Daphnia pulex: one gene and its partner. The protein of the gene in region 1 purifies or fractionates together with the protein of each later gene. This does not show direct contact. Links are inferred from orthologs where the notes say so. Each region holds a gene or a part of one and is shown in the gene's direction. Other genes may lie near its edges.

What was found. Proteins that work in one complex are often made in the same cells at the same time.
Region 2: the proteins of protein patched-like (region 1) and sonic hedgehog protein A-like purify together in Drosophila melanogaster (affinity purification with western blotting; 3 studies listed by BioGRID). This does not show direct contact. The link is inferred for Daphnia pulex from reciprocal best matches to the Drosophila melanogaster genes ptc and hh.

What each region holds. Positions count from the first base shown.
Region 1 is NC_060018.1:5,084,507-5,089,644, forward strand, and holds part of protein patched-like, read left to right. Parts: intron 1-2,566; coding exon 2,567-2,759; intron 2,760-5,138. UniProt on the Drosophila melanogaster protein: Segmentation polarity protein. Acts as a receptor for the hedgehog protein (hh). Associates with the smoothened protein (SMO) to transduce the hedgehog signal leading to the activation of wingless, decapentaplegic and patched itself.
Region 2 is NC_060017.1:3,411,565-3,416,702, reverse strand, and holds part of sonic hedgehog protein A-like, read left to right. Parts: intron 1-4,093; coding exon 4,094-4,355; intron 4,356-5,138.

The sequences.
Region 1 (5,138 bases):
CACAAGAGAATCGTGTTATTTGCCAAGCCAAACCTGCACACATGTTCACATGGGAAATTTTTCATCCTTCTGTCAAAAAAAAAAAAAAAGGAAAATGTAGTTGTTGTTCGGGGGGTTCCATATGGTCCTGTCGTTTCCCCCCTCTCCGAAATCAGACACCCCCCTTCCACCCCTTGAAGAAGAAAAGTTATTTTCCAAAGTAAAAATTAAAAAACAGCTGCTAGGTTCTTTTGGCGGCCTTTTGTGAAGAACATACCTGATCACGCAGGTTTTTTCTTCTTCTCTTATTTTTGGCTGATGATGACGTACGGCCAAATTGTCACCCGAGGAAGAAAAAAAGAAACAACATTGGAGAGAGAGAAGTTATAAAATTCTTGTTTGGACCACCCAACGGAAGGGAACGAAGGTACAGCACACCCAAAGTTGGGCACAAGAGGAAGAAAAGACAGCGGGGTGGAGAGAGAATTTACGAGCTAGAAAAGAATGTTTTTTTTTTTTTTTTTACTTCTTCTTCTCTTTCTTTTCCTTCCCCCCTTTCTTCTTTGGTCCATTGTATCCAGCCAGCGTACCTGAAAACTTTTCTTCTTCTTTTCATTTGTGCGTGTGTGTTACTCTTGTAGAGCGAGAAGAGAGGCTATCGGTCGTCCCTTTTCTCAATTGACCCGTCAAACTCGTTACAATAGGAAAAGATTTTTTCTCTCTCTCCTATTCTTTTCCTTATTCTTTTCTGACCTCCATCTTCTTTTTTTCTCTCTATTATTCCATCACTTCCGACGATTGCGTCTCCCCATTTGAATTTTGGAAATCCAGCGATCAGGGGGTGGTGCGCATAATAGGCACTTTATAGTGCCCAGTACAGTAGAGAGAGTAGAGATATCGTCGACACACAATACGTTTAGATCAGTTTTTTTAAAAAGGAATGCCGTCTTCTTGTTCTTCTTCCTACCCAAAACATCAAGGTCAGCCCTGCTTCTGGGTTCTTCGACAAGACAAGAGAGACCGGCTGGTAGTAGTTTCCCTCACACACACACACACATAGAACCCTCTTTCGGTCGTTTTTTCTTTCCTTCTTCTTTGGCTGGTAAGAAAAATACAGTTTTTTTTTTCAGTTCGTTTCTTAGTCTCTCTCTCTCTCTCTTCTGCTTTCATCCGAGTTTTCTTCTTTGCGTTTACTTTGCTCGCGGGGAAGACTCATGCGGATGCTATATACTCTCTCTCTATTCCTTTTTTATTCTTCTTCATTCTTTTTTCCTTTTCTCTTCGGGGCCGGTTGAGCGCGTTCGGCCACCCAGTGAGACACGCAACACATGCACTGCACGTCGCCCCCTCTACACACACACACAACGGGAAGAGAAAAAAGAAGTTTTTTTTTTTTTTTGTTATTTTGGTCGGGTTGGCCATTGATGGCAGAGAGAATCGAAATGGAATAGAGTAAAGAGAGATAGATATATATGTGTGTGTGTACGTGTTGGCTGGTGGATTGTGAATCCATCACGTCACTCTGGAAAATCAGTTGGATCTGATTTTCTCCCCAAAAGAAACAAAACTTCTTTTTGTCTCTCGAGCGTTCCGTTTTGGTGTTTCGGTCATTTTCGGTCGGTCGGTTGTTTTGGATAGCCAAGACAGCCGAGAATGGAATTTGCATTGGAGAAGCCTTAAAGGTCCCTAAGGGTCCAGCAATCGGCCACCCATAGCGAGAGAGAGAGAGTCCCAACTCTGAAGGCTGCTGTTTTATAAGCGTATCGTTTTAATTGACTTGTTGGCCGTGATGTCTTCACTCGACGAGTCAAAGAGAAGCAATAGAAGGAGAGAATGTCTATGTATTTATTCAAAAACCGGTCCTAGAGCTATGGCCCATACGATTTCGGCCAAAAAAGAAAATACAGCCCCGTCTTTTTCTTCTTTCTTTTCGCCTGGCAATCGGTAAAAGCGTAAACGTTAGATTGGCTAGACAAACTCGGGTGTTTAAAATATGAGCAACCTCTCTTTTTGAAAAAAAGAAAAAGAAAAAAAAAAAAACATTATTTACAGGAAGCTCATTAAAAACGGCGCCGCAGAGCCGTTCGGGAAAAGAGGTTGTTCAACTTGACCACTTGAACACTCTGAATTCTTCTTTATTTTTTCTTCTTCTTCTTTTTGGACTGAAAGAAAACATTCTGGGTGGGACGCGAGAGAAAATCCCGCGTGATTCCGATGAAAAAAAAAAAACTCCGAGCCAAGGGAAAAAGAAGAAGACAAACTTTGAGGTGGGCAATTGCGTATTCGGTCGGCGTTTCTCCTGAAACATTGTGAGATGTTGTTGTTGTTGTCTATACGCTGGAGAAATGCCTGCGAGTCTCTCTCTTAACCTGTGATTATCTCGAGGGGCTTTTCAAGAGTGGAGGTATATCGTTAAGAGAGTCGAGGGCTTAATGGCGGCCGAGTTGATGGCTCTATCGGTCGGTTGGTCGGTCGGTCGGTCGGGAGAAGATGAAGAAGAAAGAGGAGGGTTTTGTGTGTGCCCTTGAACTAATGGAGTTATTTTATTTTATTCTTTTTCTCTGAAAAATGTGTTGATCCTGCACAGAGGGTGGCCGTTTGGAGAAGGAGTTGGCCTACATGAGACGGACGCTGGGCGAAGGAGCCGGCTCGACCCATCAGATCCTCATCCAGACGCCGAGTAACGGCCAAGGCGGCTCCTTACTCAGCCGCGACGCGCTGCTGGCCCACCTGCGGGCCGTCCAAGCCGCCACCAAAGTCACCGTCGAAATGTTCGATACGTAAGTGTTTCTTTCTTTCTTCTTTTTCTGGCCAGCGCCGCCATCTTCCTTTTTTTGTTGTTAATTTTGTGTATAGACATAAATGCGCCTGTGTGTGTGTGTGTATATATTTATGTACATACACACACACACACACACAACACTTGGTGGAAGAATTTGGAAGAGAGAGAGTTTCTCTCTTTTTCTTTTTTTTTTTTTCATTTTTGTTTGATTTTTCTAATCTGGGGGCCCCATCGGCCGTCGCCTGGGTGGCCTCTCTCCGGCGCCGACTGAATGAGTTTCCAGTCTACTTTTGGCTCGCAAACAAAACACAATAACCGGTTCTTTTTGAAGTATTTTGTTGTTGTTGTTTCTTTCTTTTTTTCCTTCCATCCATCCATCGTCTTCTTTTTCTATTGAAGAAAAAGAAAAAAAGGAAAAAATTTCTATGTGTAGACTTGTGAATATTTGAGCCCCATCATCGATTTAACCCGACGAAGATGAAGATATCTGGCTGCCCTCCAAAACGATGAAGACGGCCCGCCGCGCTGTAATAAAGTCGGGCCCCGACTTTTTCAAAAAAGAAAAAAGACACTGAAACAGAGATGGAGGGTTGGGGGAATAGATGATGAAAATGAGCACAAAAAGAAAATGAAGAAGTTGAAAAAAAAAGAAAAATTCTCTTTTAAAAAAGAAAAAAAAAAGAAAAACTTAAAGACACCGGCGGGTTCCGCGTTCAAGTCTGGATCTCTTCTTCTTTTTTGTTGTTGTTTCTTTGGTCGAGAGTCAAAAAGAGAAAAAACCGTTTGGGTGGTCGACGTCGAGACCCTCCACATGACGACACGCACACAGCTCGGTTCTTTTTTGTTTCTCTCCTTCTCGCCCAGTTTTTTGTTGTTGGACGGTTACTCCAGTAAAGTTTGTCGTCACCAAAGAAAAAAAAAGTTCATTCACTCAAGAAAAAAAAAAAAAAAAAAAGAAGTTGGAATGTGAAGAAGCTTCTGGTTATTCAATATTGGCACTGGGACTCGCACGCCGTTTGTGTGTGGACAAGTCCAGGAAGACAAAAATTTTTGTTAAGAAATAATTCCAAGCCAAAAAGAAGAAGAATAAGGCCGTGAGAATGAAATCAACGAGCTCGAACAGTATCGGTGAACAGGCACAAGAGGCAAATAGTAATAATAATAATAACAAGTTGGACAAATAATAAAAGAAAAACGGACGACGGACGCGGAAGGACCCCCTCTCGAGCAGCTGAGAGAATGTCGCCCGTGGAATTCCACGGCGGACTTCTTTTCTTTCTTTCTTTCTTTCTTTTTTCCAGGCTTCTCTATATAAGAAGAAGTAGTCTTGGATCAGATGATAGAGGGGAGAAGAAGAAGAAGTCGGCTTGTTTTTGTTTTTCTTCCTTTCAAAAGAGAGCGGCCCGATGCAGGTGTTCCAAGGAGCTTGAGAGACTAATGTGAAAACGTTGAAAACGGGAGAGAAAGGGGAAAAGATGGAAAGAAGAAAAAAAGAAAGAAGGGCGCAGCTGTATATATATATATATATATCTACTACACGAGTTGAAAAAAGAGTCCAGCCACACACACAGAATGACTGAGAAAAGAGAGAGAGAACCCTTTTTAGGGCCGGCGCCTAATGACCCAGCCAGTCGCTGCCGCCGCAGCAGCAGCAGCAACAACCGAGAGAGCTATAAGCAAAAAGCAATGGGCTCTCGTGTTTGCTGAATACCAAAACAGCTGGATCTGTCCGACTTGACTGGATGGAGATGTTTTTATTCTCTCTCTCTCTCTCGAGTTCTCTCTCTTGTTTAGTTTCAAACTGGCGACTCTCCTTTTAATAAAGAGATCTCGCTCACGGCTTTTTTCTTGTTCCTTTTGTTCCTCCCGGACGCTTTCACCAGCAAAATCTACACCAAAAACAGCCGCTCCGAAAGAAATGCGAGAAAACCGGTCCAGCAGTTCCACCCCCACACGGGCAGCACTCACGAAGCGACACAATCAGGAGTCCGATTTGAGATTATTATAACACAGAAAAGACACACAAAGTTTGAGATATTAGTCGCTCTGTTTGAATTTCACGTGTTTTTTTTTCAAATCTGTTCAAAGAAATGGGAGGAGAAGGCGGTCCGGTTAACAAAGTTCACCTATCTGTTGGGGTGATATGCGATATCGGACATTCTCTCAAAAAAGAAAGAAAGAAAAAGTTTTGTTTGGTTTTCTTTTATTATTTTTGAGTTGTTGTTTGCCTTCCGGCAGACGCTGGTCGGGCGGGCTGGACGGCGAACGAAACGGACAAGCATAATAAGCATGAAACGAATGAATAAACACCCGAGACAAGACAAGCATCTTCCTTCTTTTTTTGCTTCTTTAAAAACAAAAAAATTCCCAGTTGCCC
Region 2 (5,138 bases), on another chromosome or scaffold:
GAGGCCACCACAAACGCACAAAAGTGGTTGGGTGGTTGGTGGCACTCGACTCGAATTTTTCTTTTTCTTTTTTTCGGTTGCAAATGAAACCCCCCATCATCTGCCGACCTGCGGGGCACATTAAAGGCCATCAAAAACGCGCGGATGATGATGACGCCGGCAGGGCGACGACGACCGGCGCCCTTGTGTGTGTGCGACTTGTGGTCCCTGGGCGCGCGCATATTTGAAATTCCAGCCCAGCACCCGAAAACAACAAACGACTACTACTATACTACGACTACTACTTTGATTCTTGGGTTGTTGTGGGTGAACGGAGGTCATCCCCTCGGCGGTTAAAAGACAAATTCAAACGCGTGAGTTGGATACGTACAGTATATGTACCGCAACACGAAAAGCGGGAAATTTGAAAAAAAAAATTCATATTGGGGCCTCCTCCATTAAAAACGAAAGCAAAGTGAGAATAGATTTTTTTACAAGATGGATGGAAAGTTTGCAAACTTTTTTCTGAAGGGTTAATGATTATTCCAGTCTATAGTCCCTCCCACCTTGTCAATGCCACATGGGAGACTATTCCTTTTTTTGTTTTGTTTGAAAGCCGGACCGCCGCTAATGATACGTTTTGAGTAGAGACAACCAGACATATTTTTCTTCGAATTCCTTCCGACCGACCCTAAAAGAAAAAAAAATCTGGAACCCCCCCCCTTCCATATACTACCATATAATAATAATGAGCTATTCCTTATTTTTAAAAGAAATAAAAAAAATCAGTTGAATTTTTTATTGAATAAGGGAAACTGCCATCGACTTTTCATTTTGTGTCAAAACATCGGCCGTTCAAACATTCGAAAAAGTGGGAAAATGGCTTTTCTTCTAGCGGCAGTGTGTTGGTCTACCTTGTCATTTGGAGTCCAGCCGCGCCTCCCTCCCATTTGCCCCGGCGCAGTTTGTCCAGCCGCCCGCTCTTATCTCCCTATCCCCCATGTCTCTCTGTACATTTGTACAGAGCATTTTTCCTTCAAAAAGAAAGAAAAAAAGGACCGACAACATGTATACTGTAAGAGTTTAGCCCCTTTGCTGCGCGCCAGAGAGACAAGAAAATGTTTAATAGTCAAGTCATGGCCCGATCATTCATTATATTACCACCACCTTTTTCTTTTCCATCTCTCCCCCGTGTGCTGGAAGAAAAACTTTGTAGACACATTTTTTAGTGGCTGGCCTACACGTACAGTGTACTACAGTTCTCTTTGAAGAGAGAGAGAGGGGGGTGAAATGAAAGCAAGAATAAAATCAGAACGAATTGTGTGGGCGGAATTATATACATTTATGTACGGCGGCGGAAGGGATCCGGAACCCCCCCAAATTTCCAGCTCAACAAAAGGGTCGGGTCCAGCAAGCGGCTTCTTATATGGTCCCTCCATCTCTCCTGGAAAAACAAATTTTGTTTTCTGGTCTACACACGCCAGGGGGTTCCGTTTTTACTGGAACCCACACACACACACACGCCTTTTTGTGAGAGGAGTTGTGTGTCTGTCTGGATTTCGGTCGCTTTTCATTTGTTATTTCTTCACCCTTTCTATGGCCGGTGTTGTTGTTGTTGTTATTAAATCAATCCGAGAGTTGTACCGTATAGTAGTAGCCTTTTTACGGGCATGGGGACATTCCTGGAATTCGCCCAGTTGTGTTGTGTCCCCCAGGAGAGAGAAAAGAAGAGCGGCGCGTCTCTGCCGCCCGGAGAAAGGCAAACGAAAAGTCAACGCCGTTTGTAATGGGAACACCCGCGCGCGCAACTTCGGGACAATAACCCCGCGACGATGTCGCAATCCATCTCTCTCTCTCTCTTCTCTTTCTAGTCTGCGAGATTGAGGTCGATGAATCTTTTGACATCACATCGTCCGTCGTCTTTTCCCATCGATTTGTCCGTCTGAAGTAAATTCCCCAAACTAAAACAAATTTTTATTCTTTTTCTTGAATTTTTTTTCTCGTTTCGACAAAAAATTCCTTCCGTCCCTTTTGGGATCCTGAAAATATAATACAATAAGGCACTGCTGTGGCAGCAGCACTCAAACACCTGGCGTCCGGCTAATAACGAGCTCGCGCGCTTAGACGGGCCAGCCAAAAGGGCGAACACCAATCGGAAGATGCGCGCACAGTTCAACAATAGAAAAGAAAAAAAGATTCCAGCTCTCGCTGTTTGTGGAATCGTCTACATAGAAATTGAATAGGCTTTTTTTCTTTTTCCACCCTATATTAGTTTGAAATTCTAACGTCCCTCTCTCTCTCTCTTGTGTACGTGCTGCCTCGGCTTGTACAAAAGAGCAATTAGCCCCCAAAGTCCTCTGACAGCTGGGGCCTCAGTTGACCAGCCCAAAGGTTTTTTTTTTCTTTTTTCTTATTTTACAACAAACATTCACAGAGTCACAACTCGTATCCGTACAGAAAGAGATGCAACACAAATAACCTATCGGGTTTCTTCCAACTATGCAAACACCGTTGGCCAAAAGGGAAAAACAAGAAAATTGTGTCGTCGTCGGCGTCGTCGCCTTATCGGCCCGTGTTTGTGCGCGGTCGACTTTTTGGTATTTTTTTACCCAAATTGTTTTCAAGAGCCGCGCGCTGTTTGAATTTCGTACACTGGCCACTTGTCATCGCCCCACTCGAAACCATTTCTCGGTTATGGGGGGCGGCGGTAAATGTGTGTTATCTCTTATAGATTTTCTATTCTTTCATCTCCGTGTTGTTTAGACAAAAGTAAAATACCAAACGGAAACTGCTGGTCGGAAAAAATAAAAAAAAAAGTTCCCCCGTCCCTCATATCCATCGGTGTGTGTTCAGTAAATGGACGGCCAGAGAGTCAAACTCGTTTAACAGCTCTTCAAAAAAGAAGTGAAGGGAAAAAAAAGAAAAAGAAGACAAATAAAAATCTAAAGGAAGAAGAAGAAGAAGAGGAGAGAGGAAAAAAGGGATGACAAATCACGCGCGCGGCTCTTCTTCACCCAGTGACTCCTCCTACCTTCCCGCTTTTAAAAGAGAGAGAGAGAGTCGAAGAAAGAAAACACTTAAAGAACACCGTGGGAAATCAAAACATGCGAAGGTGGGAGGTCGTGTCTCTCTCTCTCTGTGTGTACCGAGAGAAAAAAGAAGAAGTTGAAGGCGCATAGTCGAAGAAGGGCGGCAAATAGCAGCCGAGTGTGTATATATCTAGCTATATCTTTTTTTCTTCTCCTGGGCCGGTATGCCGGTTCTTCTTTACCGTACTAATAGCATCGTGAGAGTATAGAGAGAGAGAGAGAAAGACAAAGATCAAACAAAATCTCTGGAAACATCAATGTGTGTATGTGGACGGACTGTCGCATCATTAATAAATATGAGAGAGAGAGAGAAAGTAGGCAGTAATAGGCTTATATATATACGGATACGGCTTGTGTAATATTTGATTTACATTTATATAGCTAGGGGGGAATTCAAAGGAGCTCGCCGGTTTGTTATTAATTAAAACATAATGAGATGACGTCGGATAGTTTATTTTTAAAATAAAATCCGACCACCAAAAACGGCGGAGAATTTTGTTTTTTCTTTCTTTTTTAAACAAAACAAATGAGATGATGAGATTTATACACAAGAAGAAGAAGAAATAACACTTTTTGTTTTTTTAATTTGTGTTTCTTTTTTTTCTTAACATTTTCTTCTTCTTGTTGATCGAAATGATGCGGGGGGCTGCTGTCCGGTTTGGAAATCGTTTCTTTTCTGTTGGGCTCTGTGTGTGCGGTGCCCGCGCCGCTCTTAATTGATTCCAAAACGTGAACCGTTGAAGCGAGAGCACACGGGCGCCGAGTCCGCAGGTGGCTCTCTACCTCTTCTTTTCATTTGAACACCTGCATCACACTTTACACAAATCTCTTGTCTCGAGGGCCGGCCGGCCGTCCAGAAAGAGAGAAAGAAAAAAAAAGAGACGAGGTCGTTCATGACCTACGGGACGAAACGTTCACTTTGTGTTTCTTTTATTTTTTAAAAAATATTTTTTTTCAAATTGAAAGCGCCAAATTTGTTATAATCAGATTTTTGTTTTTTGTTTTTGTTTTCCCCAATTTTCCAGAGATGCAAAGAGAAGCTTAACACGTTGGCCATTTCGGTGATGAACCAGTGGCCGGGCGTGAAACTGCGCGTGACGGAAGGCTGGGACGAGGAAGGCCTGCACGCGGCCAACTCTTTGCACTACGAGGGACGAGGCGTGGACATCACGACGTCGGATCGCGACCGCTCCAAGTACGGCATGCTGGCCCGTCTGGCCGTCGAGGCCGGATTCGACTGGGTCTACTACGAGTCGCGGGCTCACATTCACGCTTCAGTCAAATCAGGTAAGACCAAAATCAAATCATCACCCCGGAATAAATCAAAAAGAAAAACAAAAACAAAAAAACAAAAAAAAAAGATTCGAGGCTCCCGAAAACGAACGACCGAAAGAGAGAAACAATTCAACCAAAAAAGCTCGAATAGAACGAACCGGATCCGTCTTGATGGATAGGGCTTGTGCTATTGTCTTTCCTTCTTCTTCTTCTTCTTCTCTCTTCTCTGACATAGTCGCTCGTCGACCCTGGCTCTCTTCTTCTTCTCCTTGGAGGTTTTTGTTGATTCGTTATAAATACTCGGCTGGAATCACAAAGTCGAGGCCGCATCTCCTCTTCTTCTTCTTCTTCTTCTTCCAGTTTTCTATTTCGTTATTGATTCTTCTTCTCGGAGAGAAGAAGGGAAACTCTATAATACGCGCTAGACGACCAACCGACTTACTACTACCTACGTTTGATTTTGTAAAAATCGGGAGGGTCGTGAAAGAGGGAGGCTACGATAGAGAGGAAGGTGGTGGTTTCACGTTCATTTCTATTTATAGAAGTGCCATCATTCTTTCAATGCCCGGGACGCGCCAGTTGTTGTTGTTGTTGTTTTATTTTGGTTTCCTCTTTGGGAAAGAAAAAAAGAAAAAATCTTTTTCTGAAGTGAAAAGTTCTAATATTCTTCTTCGGGCAACTCCTACTTTGAGCGTCTAGTGCGTGTACGTGGGAGCCCGGTTCGTTGGACCAGACCAGCAGCCGGAGCTTTATTTATTTATTTTTTATTTCATTTTCATCTGATGGAAAGAGCAA